Linked DNA regions of Arabidopsis thaliana. The protein of the gene in region 2 interacts with the protein of the main gene of each other region in a pairwise test. Each region holds a gene or a part of one and is shown on either strand. Other genes may lie near its edges. The genes, in order: WRKY8, HB20, AT4G35610 and AT3G21330.

The links.
Region 1: the proteins of HB20 (region 2) and WRKY8 interact in a two-hybrid assay, tested with the Arabidopsis thaliana proteins (one large-scale study listed by BioGRID).
Region 3: the proteins of HB20 (region 2) and AT4G35610 interact in a two-hybrid assay, tested with the Arabidopsis thaliana proteins (one large-scale study listed by BioGRID).
Region 4: the proteins of HB20 (region 2) and AT3G21330 interact in a two-hybrid assay, tested with the Arabidopsis thaliana proteins (one large-scale study listed by BioGRID).

What each region holds. Positions count from the first base shown.
Region 1 is NC_003076.8:18,800,605-18,805,790, reverse strand, and holds WRKY8 (WRKY DNA-binding protein 8), read left to right. Parts: upstream 1-1,734; 5' UTR 1,735-1,889; coding exon 1,890-2,356; intron 2,357-3,148; coding exon 3,149-3,289; intron 3,290-4,015; coding exon 4,016-4,388; 3' UTR 4,389-4,627; downstream 4,628-5,186. UniProt on the Arabidopsis thaliana protein: Transcription factor. Interacts specifically with the W box (5'-TTGAC[CT]-3'), a frequently occurring stress-responsive cis-acting element. Functions as a positive regulator of salt stress response.
Region 2 is NC_003074.8:71,613-76,102, forward strand, and holds HB20 (homeobox protein 20), read left to right. Parts: upstream 1-1,694; 5' UTR 1,695-1,986; coding exon 1,987-2,125; intron 2,126-2,201; coding exon 2,202-2,587; intron 2,588-3,347; coding exon 3,348-3,683; 3' UTR 3,684-3,927; downstream 3,928-4,490. Other genes in the region: AT3G01210 (RNA-binding (RRM/RBD/RNP motifs) family protein), read left to right, coding at 570-685, 770-845, 916-1,014, 1,089-1,547. UniProt on the Arabidopsis thaliana protein: Probable transcription factor.
Region 3 is NC_003075.7:16,898,732-16,902,273, forward strand, and holds AT4G35610 (zinc finger (C2H2 type) family protein), read right to left. Parts: upstream 1,538-3,542; 5' UTR 1,495-1,537; coding exon 679-1,494; 3' UTR 525-678; downstream 1-524. Other genes in the region: CYCB2;2 (Cyclin B2;2), read left to right, coding at 3,013-3,076, 3,168-3,303, 3,388-3,447, 3,525-3,542.
Region 4 is NC_003074.8:7,505,336-7,509,749, forward strand, and holds AT3G21330 (basic helix-loop-helix (bHLH) DNA-binding superfamily protein), read left to right. Parts: upstream 1-1,904; 5' UTR 1,905-2,235; intron 2,236-2,368; 5' UTR 2,369-2,384; coding exon 2,385-3,506; 3' UTR 3,507-3,851; downstream 3,852-4,414.

The DNA.
Region 1 (5,186 bases), on a different chromosome or scaffold from region 2:
ACTAGCTAGTAGTTATTGAAGTTTTGGTCCTTTGAGCATCATGGCTGAGTTGCTTTAATTTCTTTGGGCCATCGAGAATCTTGAATCGTAGTTTTGTCTTGAAAACGTTTTTCATCATTATTCGCATTTTTCGGAAACATTAGAATTGCAATTTAAATCTTTATATCATTTGTTTTTTTGATAAAGGGACAAGGGTTAGCAAACTTTTTAATCAAGTATTCCTATCAGCTGCATGCATAATGCTTTTTTTCAGATCGCATGAAGCTGAGATTCGTAATTTGAACAAAAAAATCCAGACACATGAACAGTTTATAAGTATACATTATTATATAGGTATAAATCTATAAAAGGAAAATAGGTATTTGACTGTACCTATGTAAAGTCAATTTCTGTTCACTTCTCATTGTCATTTTCGGTTAGGAATCATGTCTCTCTCTCTCTGTTTTTTTCTTTTTCATTTCCTATATATTTTCGATCATGTTTCACATTTTTATCCCAAAATAAAATAATTTGTTTTGTTGACAAAAAAAAAATGTATTAAATATTAAAGCATTGATATTTGACCGTAGTTCATATATTTAGTTATTTCTATTACTCTAACGTTCCTTTAATGTTTGGGGAAAGTTCTAATGTGAAAACTGAAAAGAGATTCTGCAGCGTGAATCGTGATGACGTTGGTAAATCGTCAGTATTTCGATCATATTTCTCTTTTCAACAGATAAAATCTAAACCTATACATAATGCAAAATGATTCATATAATCTTTCTTTAACGTCCTTGCTATTAGCCAAGCTTATTACAATATGAATCACTTTAATAAAGGATTTAAGCACCTGATAAGAAATTTCATTTTGTATATTGTTTTTTATAAAAATTAAGATTTTCATGTAAATTGGTTGTAACTAAGGTCGAAATTACACGGGAATATAATGTAATGTATAACATTGTCGCATTTGCACCTTGACTTTGGTGGAATATTAAATTGATAGACTAACGTCTGATATTTATTAGGGTTTGAGAACACAAATCCAGTAGTCCACCACGTGCCAGGTAATGTGTCGGTTACGGTCAAATGCCGGTGCCAATAATTACACGTGTCATCCTAATAACCCCACAATTCTCTTTGACTTTTTGACTTGGCTCTTCCTTCTTCACATAAAGATGACCGGAGACTGACTATTTCCGGTTACCGGTTAACTATTAGTCAGCATCATCGCCTTCTTCTACAACAAAGCTTGTTCCCACCTTATTCCACAATCTAAAAAATGGTAAATAACTAAACATTTACTTTTAAGACCCAAACATCTTTAAAAAGGTAAAAAAATAACCATCTTTTCAGGTTTTACTTGGTCAGAGTCAGACTTAAAAGAAGTTTCTTTATGATGATAAAATGGCTTTTCCTTTTATGTTCATGTTCACATTAAACGTTTAAGAAACAAAATGACAAGTATATGTTTCCTCACTCGAGGCCACTTTTGTAACTCTCGATTTGGGAGGTAAAACGCATCTTGTCAACTCAACTTTATAAAAGTTATCATTATTTTAAAAATACAATAAAAGTCATTCAAACCCCAAAACTCTTTTTGAATCATTCACACTTCAATACTCTTTCATTCAACCTTAGATTTGTATATATCTAAGACAAAATAAAATATGCTAAAACGCCATTTACTATATTTATTTAGCAAGACATAAAATAATATATATTTTCAAAAGGCATAAATACGAGAAGACCCAAAAGTCTTAACACCAAATTTAGACCGACTAAAAAATTCATTAACGTAAAAAAGTTCTTGTTTCTTTCTTTCTTTTCTTCTTCTTCACGCTCCTCTCTTTGTCATTTTCTTTTTCTTTCTTTTTGGTTTAAGTTTTTTCTCTTTGTTCTTCGTCATGTCTCATGAAATCAAAGATCTTAACAACTATCACTACACTTCATCGTATAATCATTACAATATCAACAACCAAAATATGATTAATCTCCCTTACGTTTCTGGTCCATCTGCTTATAATGCAAACATGATCTCATCATCACAAGTAGGTTTTGATCTACCCTCGAAGAACTTGAGTCCTCAAGGAGCCTTCGAGTTGGGTTTCGAGCTTTCTCCATCTTCTTCTGACTTTTTTAATCCTTCCCTCGATCAAGAGAACGGTTTGTATAATGCTTATAATTATAATAGTAGTCAAAAGAGTCATGAAGTTGTCGGTGATGGTTGTGCAACCATTAAGAGTGAAGTTAGGGTTTCAGCATCTCCTTCTTCAAGTGAGGCCGATCATCATCCAGGAGAAGATTCCGGCAAGATCCGGAAGAAAAGAGAAGTTCGCGATGGAGGAGAAGATGATCAACGCTCTCAGAAAGTGTAAGTTTCATAAGTGTTATCCTAATTAAATTACTTAGTTAAGCAAGATAAATATATTTAGAATTCACATGAATCATGATCAGTTTGACTAATTTCTTTTGCTTTTATTTACCAAATAACAAAAAAAAAACTTCTCTGATCTTAATTACGAGAAAGAAAAAAAAACACATTTCTTGTTTTTCACTTTGAGGCCCATATCAAATATAATTATTTTCATTGCTTGAAAATTATTTTCATGAACTAACTAAGCAATACTGATTTCAATTTTTTTAGACTAACATAAAGTATATAGTTTGCATGCCATAAAATGACATCTTTAAGAACAACGTCGAGATTTAAATTTTGATAAAAGTATATATGTACTTGTGAATATTTAATTTTACATTAATATTTTTAGGTAGAATTTAAGTTTCATAATTGAAAGAATGACAACTCAAGTTATTTCGTTCATATTTTTTCTGTAATACAATTTAATATTTGAGATTCTATCCTGATTTTTGTTTTCAAAGATTATTTATTTCATTTGTTCGTACCTATAATTATTGATGTATAAATCTTATCCCTAAAGAAACCACTTAAACAAAAAGACGTGTCCCATTTATTTTTTGGCAGACTACACCTTAAGATTATTGTATTTCTTGTGTCATATGTCCTAACAATCATTTGATGCTTATCTTAGTTTAATATAGTTCAATGAATCAAAGTCAAATGTACGGTACGGTGCCATTAATTAAAGATGGTCCAACTTAGTTAAGTATTGATTTAATTGATCAGTAACATATGGTTCACCAGAGTTAAAACAAAGAAGAAAGAGGAGAAGAAAAAAGAGCCACGAGTCTCGTTCATGACTAAGACCGAAGTTGATCATCTCGAAGACGGCTATCGTTGGAGAAAGTATGGCCAAAAAGCAGTCAAAAACAGTCCTTATCCGAGGTAATTTATTCGGTCAATATATAATTTGTTAACTGATCGATTATTACATACGAAAATAGATTAAGTATGGCAAAATGTCGCAAAATGTAGTTTTGAGTTTAGCTTTTGGCTTTTTCAAATCTTAAGCATTATTTATCAATTTGAAAAACTAAAATAAACTGAACTTTTGTTTCTTTCACTTATCTCTCTCCAACCAAGGTCTAAGAATCCTTGAATATTGTATTTTAGTTTTGTTTATTGATGATTTGATCTTTTGTTTCAACTTAACTAATTCTGGATTTATATTTACATTTATATTTCAAACAATAATTTTCAAGTTACCAGAAATTTTAAAACAAGAACTTTTCTTATACCATCATGTGATTTGTTTTATTTTTTTGAAAATGCTATTATGATGGTTGCTCACATTCACATATACATATCATTCAATTTAATTATTCTTCTAATTATTTCAGTTTTGTTTTTCTTATATCATTTATTACACATCGATACAGATATTTCAGTTTTTTGGTCAAGTTCTTTGTGAAAAATTGTTTCCTGTATTTACCATTCATCATGATATGGACTCTAACATTGTTTGAAAAGTCCATCACTTAGCTTGTTTTATTATAACCTATAGATTATAAGTTTATAACTATATAACAAAGAAGAAAATTTAAATTTTGTAACCGACATTACAAGTCACACATGCTAAAACAATATACTATATTTCAATTACATGAACAGGAGTTACTATAGATGCACGACTCAGAAGTGCAACGTGAAGAAGAGAGTGGAGAGATCTTACCAAGACCCAACGGTCGTCATCACAACCTACGAGAGTCAACACAACCATCCGATCCCGACCAATCGTCGGACAGCAATGTTCTCTGGAACCACCGCATCTGATTATAACCCATCATCGTCTCCAATATTCTCCGATCTCATCATCAATACTCCAAGAAGCTTCTCAAATGATGATCTCTTCCGTGTGCCATACGCTAGTGTGAACGTGAACCCTAGTTATCATCAACAGCAACATGGATTTCATCAACAGGAGAGTGAGTTCGAGCTCTTGAAGGAGATGTTTCCTTCGGTTTTCTTCAAACAAGAGCCTTGATGATATAATATAATATAGAAACAATTTTTTTTCTGCTAAGAAATATAGAACAAAACTTGGATGCATAATAAGTGATGATAGTGTTATTTATTTTTTGCATGTATATATTATACATGTTTTGTTAACTAGCTATAGGATATACTGTAGTAATTAAGCATAAATATGGAGTCCCTTCGACTTATTACAATAATTTTTGTTATGGAGTAATTTTGTTACATGCATGCATATTGTATATGGAAGCAAAGATCCTTCATGGCTCTCTCTTTTCCATTCGTTGCTTTATATATTAACAATTAATGAGGAGAATGACATAACTTCATATCTAATATATAGTCGAATACTAAAGCAAATAAAACGTTTTGGGTGTTTGAAAGGAGATTTAGACTAGAAGGTATAATTAGAACGAACTGAAGAATATATGATCACAGCCTCACGTAAAATATAAAATGTATGAATGGATGTTTAATTAAAATGAATTTTGTACCTCATAGCATATATCTTAACATGCAATATATAAGATTTGTACCAAATCACTCACTCATTTCAACGAATTACTAGGTTTTTACATAGAAATTCATTTTAATTTCGTACGTCTCATGCGTCGTCCGACCACTTATTGATTATGCGTAAGAATTAAGGAACCAACCTAACGAGTGTGATCGTATATATTAGATATTCTCTCTGTTACATGAAGTTTGATTGATGTTTTGAGTTTTGCACACAAATTAAGATAAAATAACTTTTATATTATTGAATTATTACTTTCTTAGTTTAATAATATCACTATTACTTCTCTCT
Region 2 (4,490 bases):
AGAAAAAAAATTATGTGAACATTCCTCTTCTTTCTTTTTTGGTTTAAATGTTAACATTCCTCTTCTTTCTTTTTTTGTTTAAATTTGAAGAATCCTCTTTCTCTCTCACAATCACACGAATCTTGTCTTCTTTTCTCTCCGTCTCTTTCGATACTTGGCTTCAATCCTGTGACGTCCTGTTCTATTGTGCCTTAATCGGGTAATCTAAAACAGAACATACACTATCAGTTTTTTTTCGTGCCCTGCTTCTCGAAGTTTCCGATTGTGTGGTTGGTTGATACATATCTCATTGATTATCTTTGTTACTGTTACTTTCATCTCTTATCTCATTCAATTATAATCTAGGGTTCTTACTTCTTCTTTCTTCCCTCTCCGCTAACTATTTGGCCTGGACACCTTTTTTATTTTTTTTATTTGAATCATTATAGTAATCGTAGCTTTGTAGATTTCTTGCTGTATAAATCTCTAGAAAATCGCTCAACGGTTCACGGAATGTGATTCAAGAATCTTGTTTATGTTTGTTCTTTGATTTAGGTATCTAGGTTCGTGTGAGAAAACAGAACAATATAATGTATCCTTGTGGTTACGTTGCTCAAGTCACCAACTTGTCTCCTCAAGCCACTGAGAAAGATGTTCATAGGTTCTTCTCTCACTGTGGTATCGTCGAGCTCGTTGAAATCACCGGGTAACAACAACGTTCATTGTTCAGTAAATTATTAATCATTCTTGAATCTGTTTATATTTTGTTTCATGTCTCCATGGATTTCAGGTGCCAAGGGGATGCATTAACGGCTTATGTAACCTTCAGAGATGCGTATGCTCTGGATATGGCTGTGTTACTTAGCGTAAGTCCCTTAATTAGCTAGAAATTTCCAGTATGATCTTCTTGGCATTGATTTTAATGTTGATCTTCAGGGAGCTACGATCGTTGATCAAACCGTTTGGATATCGGTCTACGGTGTCTATTTACATGAATCTAACAATCTCAGACAAGAAGAAGACTATAGTGTTACGGTAACATTAAAAACAATACTTACTAGGTTACTTTAGGTTATAAGCCAAAGATTCTCGAAAATGTTTCTTTGTAGGTGACTCGTTCAGACGCGTTTGCTTCATCGCCTGGAGAGGCCATAACCGTGGCTCAACAAGTTGTGCAGACGATGTTAGCTAAAGGCTACGTTTTAAGCAAAGACGCGATTGGTAAAGCCAAAGCTTTGGATGAGTCTCAGAGATTTTCAAGCTTGGTAGCGACCAAATTGGCAGAGATCAGCCATTACCTTGGCCTCACACAGAACATTCAGTCGAGTATGGAACTCGTGAGATCAGCGGACGAGAAGTATCATTTCTCGGATTTCACTAAATCCGCGGTTCTTGTCACGGGCACAGCTGCTGTAGCCGCAGCCACCATTACAGGGAAAGTGGCTGCAGCTGCAGCGACTAGTGTGGTCAACAGTCGTTACTTTGCTAATGGGGCTTTATGGTTCTCAGATGCTTTGGGCCGGGCTGCAAAAGCAGCGGCCCATATCGGTGGAGGAGGAAGCAATTGATGTAAAAAGTCTTTGGGCTTCCTTGGAAAACATAAATAAATGATATGTGAGGTTTTAAAGCATAAAAGGTGTTGTGAAAAGAAAAAGAAAAAAAAAACCATCATGAAGATATGATTAGTAACGTTACATGATCGAAAATATTTGAGGCAGAAACTATAAAATAACTTTATTACATGAACTGGAGAATATATATGAAATATAATAATAAGCCTAAAGCTTTTAAAATATTAAGGATGGGTCCTAGAAACCTCCCTAGCTTGATCCTTTCCTCATTCTTTCTCTCTCTTTCTCTTATATGAGAGGTTGATGAGATCCACAAGAAACACCTAACTCATTTGATAGTGATTTCCAAATCTGCAAACAACAAAGTATATTTGATCATCACTATACTGATTTCACAATCCATTAATCACTGATAGGTTTTTGGTGGAATACATACATGTATGTGTTTGATCCAACAACAGAAGCTGGATTGAGATTAGAGATGGCGTTTCCTCAACATGGTTTTATGTTCCAACAACTTCATGAAGACAACAGTCAAGATCAGCTCCCTTCTTGTCCTCCTCATCTCTTCAATGGTACTATACTCTCTCTTTCTCTCACTATTTCTCCACATAAATAGATTTGAGTCATGAATTCTGTTGGTGTATATAGGAGGAGGAAACTACATGATGAACAGATCTATGTCTTTAATGAACGTGCAAGAAGATCATAATCAAACCTTGGATGAGGAGAATCTATCAGACGATGGGGCACATACTATGCTGGGAGAGAAGAAGAAGAGGCTGCAATTAGAGCAAGTTAAGGCATTAGAGAAGAGCTTTGAGCTTGGTAACAAGCTGGAGCCAGAGAGGAAGATACAACTAGCTAAAGCATTAGGGATGCAACCAAGACAGATCGCGATTTGGTTTCAAAACAGGAGAGCTAGGTGGAAGACTAGACAGCTCGAGAGAGATTATGATTCACTCAAGAAACAGTTTGAGTCTCTTAAATCCGACAATGCTTCTCTACTTGCCTATAACAAGAAACTCCTTGCTGAGGTATGTATCTATATAAGTAAGTATATATGTGTGTTTATATAGTAAATAAGGTGTTTAATTCAACTTTCATTTCTAATTTGATTGTGTTTGTTTTTTTCTTTGGTTTTTTTATTTTTGGTTTTGCACTAATAGTAATAACCAACGTAAAATAAATCTAGGACTACAAATATTTTTCTGATTATTGGCTTGGATTGGTACTATTTATGTAGTATATATATATGTGTATATATATCAGTGTATATATATATATATATGTATGTATCTTGTGTGTATTAAAGTCGTTTAATACGAAATGCAATAGATTATTGTTAGGCACATGATCCAACACTATAAGATGTTTGTCAAAAGACAGTAGGTGTTTTGTTTATTAATAAAAAGGATTCTTGATCAATATTTACAATTTAATTAATACATTCCCATATGACTATCAAGTAATGGCATGTGTGCGCTAACCAAATTTGACAAGAATACTGATTTTTATATCATATCATTTTTGTGTGTTTTAAATGATTTTACTACTTATTGAAATGTAATAGTTACAAGATTTTCAAAAATTACTTAAGCTAAGTATATGTAAATATATAATTTACATATATAGTCTTACAGTTTATCTATTTTAAGTTATTAGTCATTTTAAAAATATTTTGTTAATTTAAATTATATATAATTATGTTTATTTTAATGATATATAGAAATGATAATTTTTAATATCTGAATTTCTAAAACTTAACATTTGAATTGTGTGTGATGATGGTTAAAGGTAATGGCTTTAAAGAACAAAGAATGTAATGAAGGAAACATAGTAAAGAGAGAAGCAGAAGCTTCATGGAGCAACAACGGAAGCACAGAGAATAGTTCAGACATCAATCTGGAGATGCCTAGAGAGACCATTACAACACATGTGAACACGATCAAAGACCTATTCCCTTCATCGATTCGATCATCTGCACATGATGATGATCATCATCAGAATCATGAAATAGTTCAAGAAGAAAGCCTTTGTAACATGTTTAATGGCATTGATGAAACGACGCCGGCTGGTTACTGGGCATGGTCTGACCCAAACCACAACCACCACCACCACCAGTTCAACTGATTCATGATTCTAAAGCTCAAAAAAAAGTCATCAGCACGCATCAAGACAAATGATCATAATCATCATCATCATATCATCAGGAGAAGATCAAGACACAATTCTTCTCTTTGGAATTATGTTATTGCTACTCATTTCAATTTAAATTAATGGAGCATTTTGTTTTCTTTGGGTTTGTAGAGCATTGGTGTATAGTGCGAAAATTTGTTGTTGCTTTAATTTAATAAAAATCATAAAGTTCTTTGCATTCGGCCGTAACATTGTTAGATGTATGTGGATTGATCACAGTTTACAATATATGTAAATGGTTCAAAAAAGCATAACCACTCTCTTTTACTTCCCGAACAAAACTCTCCTCTAACCAATTGAGTGAGATTAAAAATCATGATTTTTCTCAACTTATATGTCCAATTTTATATATATATGATGGGTTGGTACAAATTTATTAAGAAAGTAAGGATATAAAAGTGAGAAAGATTCATATGCATGTGACTTCGAGTGGGATTCCAGCTCTGTCTTTGACATAACATGATCCATGACTAATATTATATGCAAAGATTATTTTAATATATATTTTATATTTTATGATTTTATCTTTGCAAGTTGCAATTTAAATCTTAATGGATTAATGGAACCATTAACTTTTTATTATAAAAAAAAAAAAAAACTATGCCATGCGTCACGTAGTTGCATGTAATACCAAATACAGTATTCACGTTCACTTCATCTACATAGACATATCTATTCTTTGTTGGTTCAAAATTGTTTTGAGTGAAATGAATCTATTCAATGGTAGTAATTTTGTTGTTG
Region 3 (3,542 bases), on a different chromosome or scaffold from region 2:
TTTTTTTCCGGCGGTATGAAATGATTTTAGAGTCTTTATTGTTTCATTCTCTTTGAATTAATTCTTGAAAGGTTTTGTGTATAATACTGTTTCTTTTGTAATTCTAGATAAATATTTTCATTCTATATATATTTTTTTAAAGTCTATGTTTACAGAGTTGATATTGGTAAAAAGTTTGAGAAAGTTTCATACAAAAAGAGGATAATGATGTCGTTTTTCAAAGATTGGTGAACATTTGATGGCTCTGAGAAGAATATTTTATTGCCAATTGCTATTTTCAGATTTAATTATAGTGGGATTTGGACAAAGTATTATCTTCATTTCAATCATTTAGATCCTGACAAAGGTTTCCTTTTATGATCTTACACATTCATTTTTCCTCTGCATTATTTGCATGCACTGGAAGTTGTATGTTTTTTGTTTACTATTCATTTTGATGTTGAATATTTATATAAATTTATTTGTACTTTTTCACATTGTTGCAGATTAAAATGGTGTTAAGAAATAAAAGTTAATATTAGGTCCTTTAACAAGATCTTCCTTTTCTTCATTGTTGCAAAACATTACTAATTCAAAGAATCAACATAATGTGTTAGATAAATATATCAAATATGAAATATGAAAATAATAACTATACTATGTGTTATAGTAAATTATTAAATAGTATGAAAAAATCTTTCACTTGGGTTTGTCCTCTTCCTCTTCATCTTTTGGTGGAGATTTATTAAGATCGAACTTGGCAATACATCCAGATTCAGTCGCTTCCTCTACTTGCTCCACAGGTTCCACATTCAAATCAATACCTGAACCTCTCCCACCTTCAGATCCTGGCGCATCACCACCACCACTGCCAGAAAAATCACCGGAACTTCTTCCTCCTACCGCTACACCACCAGAACTTCCTCCTCCGACAGTGGCAATAGTAAAAGCAGATCTTAGCCCGGGAATCACAAACCTTTCAGCCCCCGCAGAGAATGTAGGAGGAGGAAGAAACCCTTGATAGTTTCTATCTCTATGAGCCCTCATATGCCCAAACACTGCCTTCCACGAACCGAAACCTCTTCCACAGATATGACAAACCGGTGGTCCTTTCGGTGGATGAGTCAATTCCTTTGCTTTCTTCTTCGGCTTTTTCGCTTCTCCTTCACCCAAACCATCCCCTTCGTCATCGGTTTGCGTAGATATCCTTGGTCTACTCTTTTTCTTCCCACCACTCCCACTTCCCTCATTCATTCCTTTCATAACCGCTTCCTCTGCCGCAGCCAAAATCAACCCCGCCGCAAGAACCGCTTGCTCATTCAAACGCGCTTTTTCTGCATCTTCCTCAACGACACTACTACTCTCTCCAAATATTCTACTGCTGATATTCAAAGCAGGGAGGCCGAGAACAATTTCTCTCATATTGGTTTCTTCATCGCTCCATTGCTCATCAGATTCCTCTTTCTCTTCCTCAGTAACATCCACTTTCGTTTTCTCTGGGTTCGGATTACTCATACTATTTTCGCACTTTAGTCTAGGGATTGATGTTTCAAAACGACATTGAATTAGCCCTTATATAAAGTTTTCTCTGAACCATGGCGGTTATGACAGTTAATTCCTCTCCCGCCTTTTCGTTTGAAGATTTGCATCCGTCGTTTGTGATTGGTCCGTCCTAAACTCTGATATTACGTAAATTTGGGCTTAATATCGTATAAAGCCCATTACTAGCCCATAAGTTATTCGTACTTGGTAGGTTGGTTCAAGAGTTTTTCTTGTTTTCTGTTTGTAATCGTTTCTCGTGCGTTTTTGGTCATCGAGATTGCAAGAGTCGTTGCAACTGCACTAATACTATTATGCATGTGACATCCGACAATGACGTGACTTGTAAACTTTTGTTTTGACATATTTTTTCTTTATTTATTATTACAATAACATTATCATTTTTTTTTTTTGGGTGGAAACATTATCATTTTTATTAGCCATTCTTTATTTATTCTATATGTTTTTACTATTTAAAATTTAAACATTGATGTATACCGGTAAACATAGTTTTCAATGTCAGAAGGAAGCTCTTGAAGCTATGTAATAAATCACAAATACAACAAATTGCAACACCAAAAAAAACTAATGTAACCATTGATGTGTGATATATGATATAGCGAAGCCGCAACTGTCTTAAATATTATTTTGAATAATATCTACACACTAGACTCTAACTAAACGTTTAACAGTTTTCTAAAAATGCAGATATAAAAAGTTATCTAAAATATTTCACATATTTGAATAAGAAATTAGAAACACAATCACCTTTTGACCATTCTAAGGAAATTCAATTACAATAACTATGACCAGAATCATCTAGCCTAATTTTTGATATTCTCTAAATTAAATATTTTTAAAAAGCTTGACCAAAAAAAAAGAAATGGCAAGAACACTTACTACAGAGTCAGCATAATTCTCGGTAACAATAATTCTTAGGAAAGAGAGCAATTCTTAGCTCTGTAGTAAAACACAGATTAATAAGCTAAGATTAAGATTAAAGAATCAATATGTTGACTTTAAGATCTTAGAGCCGCGCCTTACGGAGGCTCTGGCTAGTGGTAACGAGCCTTCTTTGTCTGAAAAAGGCAACAAAAAAAACACAAAAAAGGAATAATAAATTTGAAATGAGAAAGAGAGAGCCACCACACACACCACATGGCCAAAAAAGTTACCGTTGGGTTTAGACAGACTTAGAAACAAATCGTTTCCTTCATGATCCAACGGTCATCTTAATCACCTAGCCGTTGCTATTTCCTTCAATAATAAAAAAAAATAAAATAAAAAAAGGTAGCAACTTTAATTTTAATTGATTTGATTTAATTTCTCTCTCTCGCTTATTTCATCCCCTTCTCTGACTCCTACTGATTCATTCAATTGCATCAGACGTATACACAGAGTCACAGAGAGAAGAGAGATCCTTCTTCGTTTGATGCTCTTCTTCTTCTTCTAGATTCTTCTCCAGGAGCACTATCAAATCGAGTAAAATAAACAATGGTTAATCCAGAGGAGAACAATCGTAATCTCGTTGTCAAACCCATTACAGAGATTCTTCAAGGTAGTAGTAGTAAAACGCCTTTGAAAAATCTGAGAATTATAGGTCTGACGAACAGAGAGTCTGATGTTGTTTTGTTTCTGGGTTTTGTCAGATGATGATAAGAGAAGCAGAAAATTCGGTGTAGAGATGAAGAGACAGAACAGGAGAGCATTGGGTGTGATTAATCACAATCTCGTTGGTGCAAAAGCTTATCCTTGTGTTGTTAACAAGAGAAGAGGCTTATCTCAGTAATATACTTAACTCTCTCGAATCCTAAAGTTTGTCTCTTTGATTCTTGGTTTTGGGATTTTGATGATTATTTTCTTCAATAGGAGAAAACAAGAAAGCTGTGACAAGAAGAAGCTTGATTCATTGCATCCGTCAATTTCAAGGTTAATAAAGTTTAAAGCTTTCAAAAACGTTTCTTTTGCTGAGAAAGAGAGATCTGATGTTATTTGAATTTCTGCAGATCTCAGGAAGAGACTAA
Region 4 (4,414 bases), 7.4 Mb from region 2:
ATCATTTACGAAGAAAAACTAGTTAATAATTACCAACAAATTTGTAGTAACTATAACCGATTAATTTGACATTGCCAAACATCAAAAAAAAAAAATTGTTAACTTTAAGATGATCTTTTACTATTATAGACGGATCACCGACTTATGTGACGGTTAAACTACTAATGGATTAGTGTGGATTAGTGACGACTTTGAATAAAAATAGGAACTAGAAAGTTATCAATATTGTAAAAGAATGTTCAAAATTTACAATTAGTATCTCAAATTATAAATACTACTACAAATTGTTCTTACATAGTAAAGATATAAGTTCATACAAATATACAATAAAACTATATTGGCGTTATTGGTTTAGGTTCTCGAATGTTGGTTATTTCAAGCCTAAGGAGGAACGACTTGGGAAATAAGAAGCGACTAATAATGTACTTCTCTACTGGTATATGGAAATTACAAAGTTTTCGAAAACTACTCCAAAAAGTGTTCCACATCGATTATATATGATATCATGATTATATATAATCAAATAAATCCACAAAAAGAGTGTTTGGTATTTTTATATAACACGTTCTAGCCAAAAGAAATGAAGATAAACTATACAAGAAAGTGTTGCTAGATAGATCGAGATGAGGATATTGATCATTATTGACTGATGATGATAGCGAAAAGGTAAATTAAACAAACACATAGAAAAGAATAAGAAAATGGTATAGATAATAGAATCATGAATTACTTTTACAGCTTGATCATTTTTAAAATAAAATATACAATCAACATTAATCTGTTATTCACCAAAAAATAAAAGATCCAAAACCTAAAACTTTCTTTCGATCTCTCCCTTAAAGTTTTCAGTTCGCACGACGCTAAAAGGATTGTCAGTCCTTTTTCTCTGCTCAAGCACTCGTAGATTTTTAATTACATATCCCTTTTCAGTATTCATCAAGTGCATAATCATATAGTCTATGATTTTTATCAAGTATTATATCTATTTTCTAGGGTTTCAAAAAAAGATGCTCTTCGATTGCAGAAACTATTATGCACACCAACCTCATTTAAATAAATATATAATTCAATCGTCTAGATTATTTTCTATATTTTAATACAAATCATTCGGTTAGCTTTAGGTTAATGAATCAGTGATCTCACTTTTCTCTTTGCGCGTGTGACATTATTTTTGACCATGAAAAATTAAATAATTTTGGATTAAGAAATTATTAAATAATCCGGTTTAGGAGATGTTTTAAGTTTAGATTCGGGAGTGTTGTAAACTCTAACGTTTAGTTTCGGTGACAACTTTTAAATTCAATTTTGATAGTCGTGTATCTATTATCCAACAAAATCTCACTTAGAGATATCAGATATATCGCAAAATTAATCGAGATCAACTTCAATAGTTTCATCTTCTACGAAAGTAAAGTTGTCGCCGCCGGCGTCTTCAATTTAACGTGTCGATAACGTTCCATATTCGAGTTTGCATATGCATGTCACTGGAAATAATAGTTAAATCATCTAAATCGCATCCATTAATGATTTGATCATCATAAAATTTGGTAAAAAAATTACCTAACTCAAAAGTAAAATATAAAAATTAATCGTTTGAGTAGTTAATTAGTTTACCGGTATACTAGTTAAAAGTTTTTTTCCTTTGACGGCGCTCATATATATGTTTTAAAGTATATCAAAATAGGGATTTAATTCTTAAAGTTACACTAATCCTAATTCTTAAAGTTAACCATCCATACCAATTTACAGAAGTACAGAACTAGTGCTTGATACAGAGGAACAATTGATCTCATCGAAAGTTGGGACCTTTTTAAAAATAATACTATTATATATATATAATAAATATACAAATATATTTAATATTTATTCTATATATAAATATGTGCATAATAACAAATCTGAGTATGAATAGTAGGAGGGGTGTATAGGGCTTTCAAGTCTTTTCTTACAGAAACTATCTATAACTCTAGCAGAGAGCTCATTATAGAACAGAACAGAAACAGAGCTTTCTAAGTCTACAGCACAGAAATAAACCTCATTTACAGACTGTTTTACTTTCTTTCCTTTTTGAGCATTTCTTCTTTCTGTTTCTTTCCTCTGTTTTCTCTTTCTTTCCCTTTTTGGGTGTCATCTCTTTAAGACAGAAGAAACGTTTCTCAGAGTTTCCTGTGAACTCATCTGTTTGTTCTCTTCTTCCGGTTTCACTTTTTCATGTCCTGCCGTTATTACAACGAGGTTGGTTTAAAGATCAGCTTTTATCATTTTTCCCTGCATGTAACAAGAAATATTTAGGTTTCATGTCTGTTTACAAATATGCTCTGTTTCTAAGTATGCCTCTCACATTTGTCTTTGTTTTGGGTGTTTTTAGGATTGTGTTTGATCCGATGGAAGGATTGGAATCTGTGTACGCTCAAGCTATGTATGGAATGACACGAGAGAGCAAAATCATGGAGCATCAAGGATCAGATTTGATTTGGGGAGGAAATGAGCTAATGGCTCGAGAACTCTGTTCTTCTTCTTCTTATCACCACCAACTCATTAATCCGAATCTTAGCAGCTGTTTCATGTCTGATCTTGGAGTCTTAGGTGAGATTCAACAGCAGCAACATGTTGGCAACAGAGCTAGCTCGATAGATCCATCATCACTCGATTGTTTGTTATCTGCGACGTCGAATAGCAACAACACCTCGACGGAGGACGATGAAGGAATATCTGTGCTTTTCTCAGATTGTCAGACTCTTTGGAGCTTTGGTGGAGTCTCATCTGCAGAGTCTGAGAACAGAGAGATCACTACTGAGACGACAACAACGATAAAGCCTAAGCCTTTGAAGAGAAACAGAGGAGGAGATGGAGGAACTACTGAGACTACAACAACAACAACAAAACCTAAGTCTTTGAAGAGAAACAGAGGAGACGAGACAGGAAGTCACTTTAGTCTTGTTCATCCTCAAGATGATTCGGAGAAAGGAGGTTTCAAGCTTATATACGATGAGAATCAATCGAAATCAAAGAAACCAAGAACAGAGAAAGAACGAGGCGGTTCTTCGAACATTAGTTTCCAACATTCAACTTGTTTGTCTGACAATGTCGAGCCCGATGCTGAGGCGATTGCACAAATGAAGGAGATGATATACAGAGCGGCTGCATTTAGACCGGTGAATTTCGGGTTAGAGATTGTGGAGAAGCCTAAGAGGAAGAACGTCAAGATATCGACGGATCCTCAAACGGTTGCAGCGAGACAGAGAAGGGAGAGGATAAGTGAGAAGATTAGGGTTTTACAAACATTGGTTCCAGGTGGGACGAAGATGGATACTGCATCAATGCTTGATGAAGCTGCTAATTATCTCAAGTTCCTTAGAGCACAAGTAAAAGCTTTAGAAAACTTGAGACCCAAGCTTGACCAAACCAATCTCTCTTTCTCTTCTGCTCCTACATCGTTTCCATTATTCCACCCATCTTTTCTTCCATTGCAAAATCCTAATCAAATCCATCATCCAGAGTGTTGACAGATTATAAACTTTTGAGTTTCATCATCATCAACAGAATCATGGCGTCTTGATTGTTTTAGCAGTTCTCAAGAAAGGCAACTTCTGTGACAAGGGTGGTGTCGGGCAGTGTTGTTTACACTTTCCAGTCTTTGTTTTGCATTTCTTTTTATATAAAGTTTGTATTTTATATAGAATCTGTGGAATTCGAGGGTTGAAATATTGTGAAAAACAGAGCCGCAAGAGGTTAATTACAGTCTCTGCAATATTTTCAACCTTTTATTACTTTATTAGAGTAAAGATAGCGTAAGATAATTGCAATTATGAAGCGATGATTATCAACAAAAGTGTTTAGAAAGTGCCTCCATCTCTCTCTACTTAAAAAAGTTTAGCTTTACTTGAAGAACTCTTTTGGAGTACTAAAATATAAAATTAATATTCATCCTCTTTTTTTGGTACTCAATAAACTCTGTCTGTCTCTGTAAAATATGTATAAATTTCGTATATCTATAATGCAAGGTTATTTAATTTGTGTTACTTATCCATATAAAAAAACGATTTTAGTGGAAGAACTTATTATTGTCTTATAATTTTATTTTCACATAAGTGTTTTTTTGTCTGGCTCAAATACAAAACATAGTTTGGATGGAGTTTAGTAAGAGTTAAGAATGTTGAAGGCGTGCACCTTGAGAATATAACTTCACCTGACTCGTACACCCTAAAATGCTCACCACATGCTTCTCTATCTCACTCTCCATCTTTTTATTCTTCTTTTTTGTCTTTTGGTTTTTGTCTTATTTCGTCCCTAAATCTCCTTAATCACATTCTCTTTCGTTTAATAGTATTTTATGAAGTTCTTTTGATGGATGTGTTTTTTTGACTTGGGTACATTGACTATCAACTTTTTATTTATTCGCAATAACACTTAC